Sus scrofa: one gene and its partner. The protein of the gene in region 2 purifies or fractionates together with the protein of the main gene of each other region. This does not show direct contact. Links are inferred from orthologs where the notes say so. Each region holds a gene or a part of one and is shown on either strand. Other genes may lie near its edges.

The links. The genes of interacting proteins can lie anywhere in the genome.
Region 1: the proteins of LIN28A (region 2) and CHERP purify together in Homo sapiens (co-immunoprecipitation; 3 studies listed by BioGRID and IntAct, with this or other methods). This does not show direct contact. The link is inferred for Sus scrofa from reciprocal best matches to the Homo sapiens genes LIN28A and CHERP.

Annotation. Positions count from the first base shown.
Region 1 is NC_010444.4:61,061,680-61,065,421, forward strand, and holds the start of CHERP (calcium homeostasis endoplasmic reticulum protein), read left to right. Parts: upstream 1-1,280; 5' UTR 1,281-1,400; coding exon 1,401-1,425; intron 1,426-1,735; coding exon 1,736-1,909; intron 1,910-3,742. UniProt on the Homo sapiens protein: Involved in calcium homeostasis, growth and proliferation.
Region 2 is NC_010448.4:83,804,923-83,808,664, reverse strand, and holds the start of LIN28A (protein lin-28 homolog A), read right to left. Parts: upstream 2,488-3,742; coding exon 2,457-2,487; intron 1,993-2,456; coding exon 1,808-1,992; intron 1-1,807. UniProt on the Homo sapiens protein: RNA-binding protein that inhibits processing of pre-let-7 miRNAs and regulates translation of mRNAs that control developmental timing, pluripotency and metabolism.

The DNA of each region.
Region 1 (3,742 bases), on a different chromosome or scaffold from region 2:
TTTCTCTTTGGTTATATAAGCACCAAGCACCTACATAATATCCTTGATTTTGGCTCTTGGCCAAACACCTACATAATATCCTTGATTTTGGGTCTTGGCCAGCAAAAATATTTGCTATCTGGCCCTTTATAGAAAAAGTTTGCCAGCCTCTAGTCTAAGAATACTATTTGGGATACAGGAGACAATCTATAACGTCAGATGGAGAAACTAAGTAACAATTTAAAAAATGTATCTAAAACACCCCAACACCGTTTTCAGAGTAGGGAGGTACCGCCAACTAAGTGTTAATGTTAACAATGGTAATCCCAAAAGCGTTCAGATTGCGAGGGAAGTCACAAGTCTACGTTTCTTTAACGTTTGCTGTTCCTTGCTATCTTTCCCCGCAATTAGCAAGCGTTAACTTTACCATCGTTTTATTTCACTTTTTTTGGCCGCCCCGGGGCATATGGGCCCGGGGATCAAATCTGAACTGCAGTTGTGACCTACGCTGCAGCTGGGGCAACTAAGCCGGATTCTTTCACCCACTGAGCCCGGCCGGGGAATCCAATCTGTGTCTTGGCGCTGCAGATCCCGTTTCGCCACAGTGGGAACTCCTCAAAGTTTCATAAGTAACATAACTGCGTATTTCAAGGTGCATCTTTCTGACCGCGCAGCCTAGAAGGCCCGGCACCCGCTTGAATGACTACACAGAAGCCACGCGAGCTCTGAAAGGCTTCTGAAAACGGAGGGAGTAGAGGTGGAGGTGTCCCCTCGCCCTAAGTCTTCTTTATCAAAGAGTTGGATTAAAGAAAAGAAGCACAGCAGGAGAAACTTTTGAACCTCGATAAGCCCTGTTCCATCCCCGCCACGCCTGTAGCCTCCCAGTTCTACTTTTACATCCGGACGAGCCCGGGAGGATGTGACCGGCGCCGCAGCCCAGGCGCCTCCTGGACGCACCTCACCTCGTATTTTCCGCACCGCCGCCTCGCTGGGAGAAAATAGGGCACTGACTAGCGCAGTAACTCCCCAGGGCCCCTAGTCCTACGGAAGAATCTACTGCCCAAGTCCTCGCATTGCAACACGTAACGTGGGAAAACGCCCCAAGAGCAGCTAACGGCCGCCTGCACCGTTCCAGCCGTTCCCTCGCGTCGCGCTACAGAAGTCCATTCCGCACATGCGCGGGAAAGCCCCTGCGCGTGCGTGGTGCTCGCCCCTCCGTGCGTTCGGCCCCTCGCGGCTTCTTCCCGCCTGCCTCGTTTCCTCACTTCCGGGGTTTCCTGGCGACGGCCGTAAGTGGCGGGCGGAAGCAGCGCGCGAAGCCAGTCGTAAAAGGCTCCCTCGCGCCACTTCCGGCCGGCTTCCGCAGACGGCCCTGGTGGGCGATCGTGAGGCGCCGGAGGACGTTCCCCGCGGCTGGAGCCATGGAGATGCCGCTGCCGCCTGATGGTGAGGCCCAGCCTGGGCTCGAAGGCTGTTTCTCTCTCCCCGGAATCCCCTGTTGGCCTACCTCGCCTCCCGGGGTCCCCGGGCCTAGGAGGGGGCGGGGCTCGGCCTCCGGGGTCCGCCTGCGGCCTCTCCCGCGGGTTCCCGCATTCTCGGCGCGCTTCTGGCCCCTATCGGGACCCGTACAAAGGCGGCCTTTCCCGGACCCACCCCTAGGGACCCCCGGCCCAGCAGACGCGGGCTGGGACGACAGGGCCCCCGAATTTGGGCGGTTCTCGCTGACGCCCCGCGTGGCCTTTTCTCCGTCCTCCAGACCAGGAGCTCCGAAATGTCATCGACAAGCTGGCCCAGTTCGTGGCTCGGAATGGGCCCGAATTTGAAAAGATGACGATGGAGAAGCAGAAGGACAACCCAAAATTTTCGTTTCTGTTCGGAGGAGAGTTCTACAGTTACTATAAGTGCAAGTTGGCGCTGGAGCAGCAGCAGCGTGAGTTCTCTTGCTCTCCGGCCGTCCTCTCCAGCGATTCCTTTCTGATTCCATTTCGGGCTCTGCCACAGACCGCCTTTTTTTAAATCGCTTGTTCTTCTGGGAATATGGATTAGCTCGGTCTTCACGGTCCCATTCGCTGTTCCCGGGGCTCTGCACCCGTGCGGCAGCTGGGTCCCAGTGTAATGGAGAACGGGGTTATCGATCCTTTTGCTGGGCTCCAGATCAGGGTTTACTCTTGTTTTGCAAACGTGATGACTGAGGTCAGGAAGGTAGTGACTACTTCAGCGGTTTCCAGGGAGGAAGTAGTAGAAGCCAGATTGGGTGAGACCCTTGGGGCAAATACTGTCCAGCGAGGTTTTTGTGCATTTTAAGATGGTTGTAGCCTAGATCAAAAATGAGTTGTTTCGTGGGTATTAGTTCTTGGTATCAAAATTCCAACCCTCTTCTAAAAGAGCTTAAGATGGGGTTGGTTAACACAGTTGGTCTCTGAATAACAGATAATCACCAGGTAGTAAAGATCCCTGAACCCACATCTGCCCTGTTCAGTAGTGAATCCTTAGCTTCCAGATATGTTGTGTTCTAGATTGCCAAGTAGATGGACATTGAAAGGTGGATGCTCCCTGAACTACAAGTTCCCCACGGCCAACCGGGCCTTGTTTGGCATTGTTGTGCCTAATAGGTAGCACGTAGTAGGTGTTCAATAAAGAGTTCATAGGACACAGCAAAGGTTCAATGGCTTGAACAAGCACAGTGTGTTTTGAGAGCGGAAAGAAACCTCAGTCATCACGTTTGCAAACACAGTGTGTTGTGAGCAGCCCAGCATGGCTGGAGTTTTGATGTGTGTCGACAGGGTCGGGTTTGATCTGGAGTGGTAAATGCCAGGGAAAAGCTTGGGTTTTCTTCTTTAGTCTGGTGTTCTTCTGGTGCCTGTGTATGTTTGAGATGAGGGTGGAGGAGGTCTGTTGCCTGAAAATGTTGGGTTTTGGGTGACTTGTATGGAGGACAGATTGGAGGGAGCATTGAGTGGAGTCTAGGACCAGTTTGGTGGTAAAATCTGAATTAAGTTGGCAGGTCGAGTAGAGAATGTGGGCCTGGGGACAGTTGGGGTTAAAGGGAAGGGCCAGTTGGATATTGAAGCAGGTGGCATAATTGGGCAGGGGAGGACAGTGTTTTGGCTCCGGTTCCTGTGAGGTGAGAGATGCTTTCCCTGCAAGGGGAGCCTATTCCCATCCTGGAAGGTCAGAAATCAGGACCTTCTTGGGACGTGGTGCTATAATGGGGGTTGGGATGCTTCTGGAAGGGAATGGGGCTCAGAAAGTGTTTTATGTAGGTAACTGTTGCCATTAAAGTTCAAGTCATTTAGCTGATGGGAACTGACGAGACAAGTGTGTTCAGGCTGAGGAACACGCCTGAGGAGGGGTTGGGGAGAGAGGGGACAAGAGCTCAGGGTGCCTGGAGCCCAGAGAAGGAGGGATTCTTGGGGTGGCCAGAAGGGAGGGTGCAGAGCAGGTAGGGCTGGTTTGCCAAGGATTCAGGAATTCTGGAGGCTTTTGGGGAGCTCTTGAAGGGTTTCAAGACTATGTTCTGGAGCAGGGTTAGCCACTGTGTAGCCCGCCCTTCACCCTGGTAGTCTGAGAAGATTGAGACCCTTGACTGCTCTAGCATGTTGCCCCACAGACTGTGGTAACGGACTGGTTTTTGTTTTTAACAATTTGCTGTGAAAAGTACAGTTTTGCACAGTAGAAACATGAACCATGAAATATCAAATTGCTTTAAAAGTGCCAAAACGCTCTCTTGGCATTTCTGTGCTTGTTTATAGTCTCGGTATCA
Region 2 (3,742 bases):
TCAGGAAAACCTTCCTTGGGTGCTGGATATCTTTCTTTGGTGAAAGAACCCCAGAGGAGTGCCATTCCCTCAGTCCTTCCCTATTTTGCAGCCTTGGGAAGAGAAGCAAGAAAATGTTGGATCTGACTCTTTTATTCCAAGTCTTCCAAAGTTGGGGAAGCTGTCCAGTCCTCTCTGGACCTGGAGAGATTTTAATCTCTTTGTGATCAGATAAATGGGAGAGTGGCGGAGCTGGCCACCCTGCTGAGGAGGGCCATTCAGAGCTGGTTCCTGTAATAAAGTGATTTAATAGATCTAAAGAGGCCAATTCCCTTCTTTCTCCCACAATTACTTCCTGTGGGTTATCATTCACATATGTAAATGAGACAGGGAGGGGGGCAAAGCCACCAGCCAGAATTAGATGTCAGATGGGGAGGGGGTAAAATGGGGGGGGTGGAGTGAATTAGCAAAGCAAGGGGGTAGTCAAGCATCCTGCTGCCAACCTTTCCGGCAGAAAGACGTTCTAATAGCCCAGTGACCCCCAGCGTTTTTAACTGGTGGGTCCCCATCTCCCAGCATCCTCTATCTCCCTTGTTCCCCCCACTCAGCGTTCTTGAGGGCCAGGCTCAGAGATTTCCCTGCAGCCACCAACCAGTCCACCCAGCATCTCCCTTCCCCACCCCTCCCCCTCCAGAATACCATCCCTCAGGCTCCAACCCTTAATCCCCACATCCTCCTTTCCCCTCCCCCACAGCTCCGAAAGCTAACCTCCCTGAAGTAACCCCTCCATGCCCGGCCTGGGTGTCAACCTATGGGCCTGGGATTAGCAATTTTCCTCCCAGGTCCAGTCTCAAATCTCCAAAGGTGGAGGGAACCCAAGCCACAACTTCCTTTGCACGGTTGTTATGTGAGGCTGGTGTCCCGGGACCACAGGAACGCTTCTAAGATATTCAGGAAGGGGTGGCCGGGGAGGAGGGAAACCTGAAGTCTCTGGCTCCTTGTTTGAGGCTGGGAATGTTAGGACAGCAATCAATGGCTGTCTGGGGCCATAAATGCCAAGCCGAAGAGAATAGTCCAGAGGCTAGCCTCCCTCCACCCCCTGGCCCGCGACACTGAATTTCACCCCCACTGTGCTGCCTTGCTTTAACTGAGAACTTGGGGTTGCAACCCAACTCCCTCCCAGCCTGGCCCGGGGAATCTAAGGCCTGGCTCCTTGGGTTTTCTTTCCCAATAGGAAATGGACAGCAAAAGCCCAGCTAGTGAACTGTGCACCTGAGACGTGGTGTCCTCTTGAGCAGCTTTCAGACCCCCAAATTGATCCTTCAGGATCTGCCAAACCCACCCTGGCATCAGGGCTTGAGTGTTGGGTGACTATCAGGGTGAGGAGACCCCGCTGACTTCTCAGCTTTACCCCGAAGGGACCCGGAGAGGTTTCCCTCCCTCTCTCCAGGTCGGCTCCGCTCCGACCGGGCATGTGCTTCCCTGGCCGGCCAGCTTGCCCTCCCCCCACTGGCAAGCACAATACAACCTTAGTTCTGCCACATGGGGTCACCTCCCTGCCCCCTGCCCAGGGGAAAGAGGTAACAGACACGTGGTAAGCCAGAGAGGCTGCCGGAAGGGGCTGGGGGTGCTGATAATCGATTGTGCCTCCAACTCCCGTCTGATTAGAGTCAGTCGGGGACTCAAAACTGGGGTGCCACGGCAAAGATGAGAACTCACAATGAGAGCCCTTGATCTCCTTCAATCCAAGAGCCGAGCTGACCGCCCACCCTTGGATACGCGCGCCAACATCCCCTTCCCGCGGCAAAGTTACTAGAATCGGTCTCACCTGGTGCACAAAGACGTCCACTGGGGGGTCGAGCGCGACCCCGGCGCGGGCGGTCATGGACAGGAAGCCGAACCCCATGCGCACGTTGAACCATTTACAGATGCCGGCACCGTGGAGCAGCTGCGGCTCCTCGGCTGCTCGGGCCGCGTCCTCCGGCGCCTCCTCCGGCGCCTTGGCGCAGCCACCTGGAGATTGGGAAGGCGCTCAGCTGGGGGGCCACGGAATTGGAGGACCCTATCAGAGACCCGGCAGAGAGACCCTAGCGTCCAGCCCGCCGGTAAACACCCAGGAAGCTGTGGCTACCAAGCGGCCGGAGAGAGAATCCCTGTCCCGGCTGCCTCCTGTGCTCCCCAACCTTACGCTGAAGCCAGTGGTGCCCCGAAAGTTTTGCTCGTCTTCCCACACACAGCACGTTACCCGGGGACAGTCGGCCGGACAGGCCCCTCCTCTTCTCTTCCCACCACCCCCGCCCCCGGAGCCTCAGCCTGCACGCCGCTGGGACACCAGGGTTCTTTGCTCCAGAGATGGCCCCCCCGAAGCAGGAACCCGCAGACTTGGGGTTCTTCGGGTGGTCTGGGGGACACTTCCCCACCTCCCTTTTATGTGGCTTTTGGGAGCTCCTGTAGCCTAAGTTGTCCCCAGGTCGAACCTGCAAACTGCTGGTTTGACACAGAGCCCATGGTAGTCGGCTGAGCCCGCGGCCCCGGGCCCCTGGTCGGGCGGCTGCTGGCCCCAGAGAAGTCCGGAGGCAAAGGGGTGGCTCGGAGAAGAGGCTGCTACATCTTCCCCAGCACAATAGCGGTGGGAGGGCCCACGGCTTTTCAAAGGCTCCCAAATTCTAAAAGACAATGACCCAACCCCCCGCGGGCAGCCCCCCTCCCCTCCCCTCCCTCTTCTTTCCCCTCCCTTTCCCTCAGGCTCCAGCTCTGGCCCTCCCCCACCACTGCAGTCTCTGACACCTCTGGGGTGTCCCTTCTCAGAACCTTAAGGTTTGACACCCCCTCACACACACACACACACACACACACACACACACACGCACACATCTGGAGATGGGGGCCGTCAGCCCTAAGAAGTCTTGAGTACCCGGGAATTTGGGATCCTGCACTTTAAGGACTCAATGGGGGTCCCTAAAGCAGCATACAGGTGGGGGGGCCTGTGGAGGGGGTAGTTTAAAGCCACGTGACTGCTCCCACACACACTCACACACCACCCCCACCCCCCGTGCAGATAATTATACATTCCAGAGAGTTGGGGGAGGGAGGTGTGAGCCTGGCAGCGCTGGCCAATCAGAGACACAAACCACCTGTCAAGGGAGAAATGGATGAGCCCTCCCCCTCCCCCAGCCCTTGAGCGCCCCTCCCCCTCCCTTCCCCTTCAGGCCTCCTAGCTGACCCGGCAGCTCGGCGCTGACCCGTTCTCACCCCCCACCTCCGTGTGCTTAGATAGACCTGGAGTTCAGGACACTAGGAAGCCTGGGATGGGGAAGCCGGGAGGGGCGGGGGAGGCAGGGGGAGGCGGGAGACCCAGCGGGACCGATCTCCACTCCTGACCTAGGCGCTGCCTCTCAAAGTCTATCTCTGACTGAATGTCTCTGCCTTCCTGAGTTTCCAACTGAGTTTTTCTGGCTCTTTCAAAGCACTCCTAATTGAGTCTGTGTAAAGAATCCTTCCTTGTTTCCTTCCAAATCTGTGTCTAATATTGACCCCACATCGAGTTCCCTGAGAGAACAGAAAGAACCCTAAGAGGCTTGCAGTGTGCTCCTCTCTCCACCAGCTGCCCTCATCCTGCCCACTTCCATCCTGTCCCTATTCGTTGCTGAGAGTGACTAGGTAGATAGGTGGGTGGAGGTATTTACCCAAAACACCGACTCTCAGGTTCCCAGACCCTCTTCTTTTCAGAGTCCCATCCTAAAGTGTGCTCCCTTCCCCATAG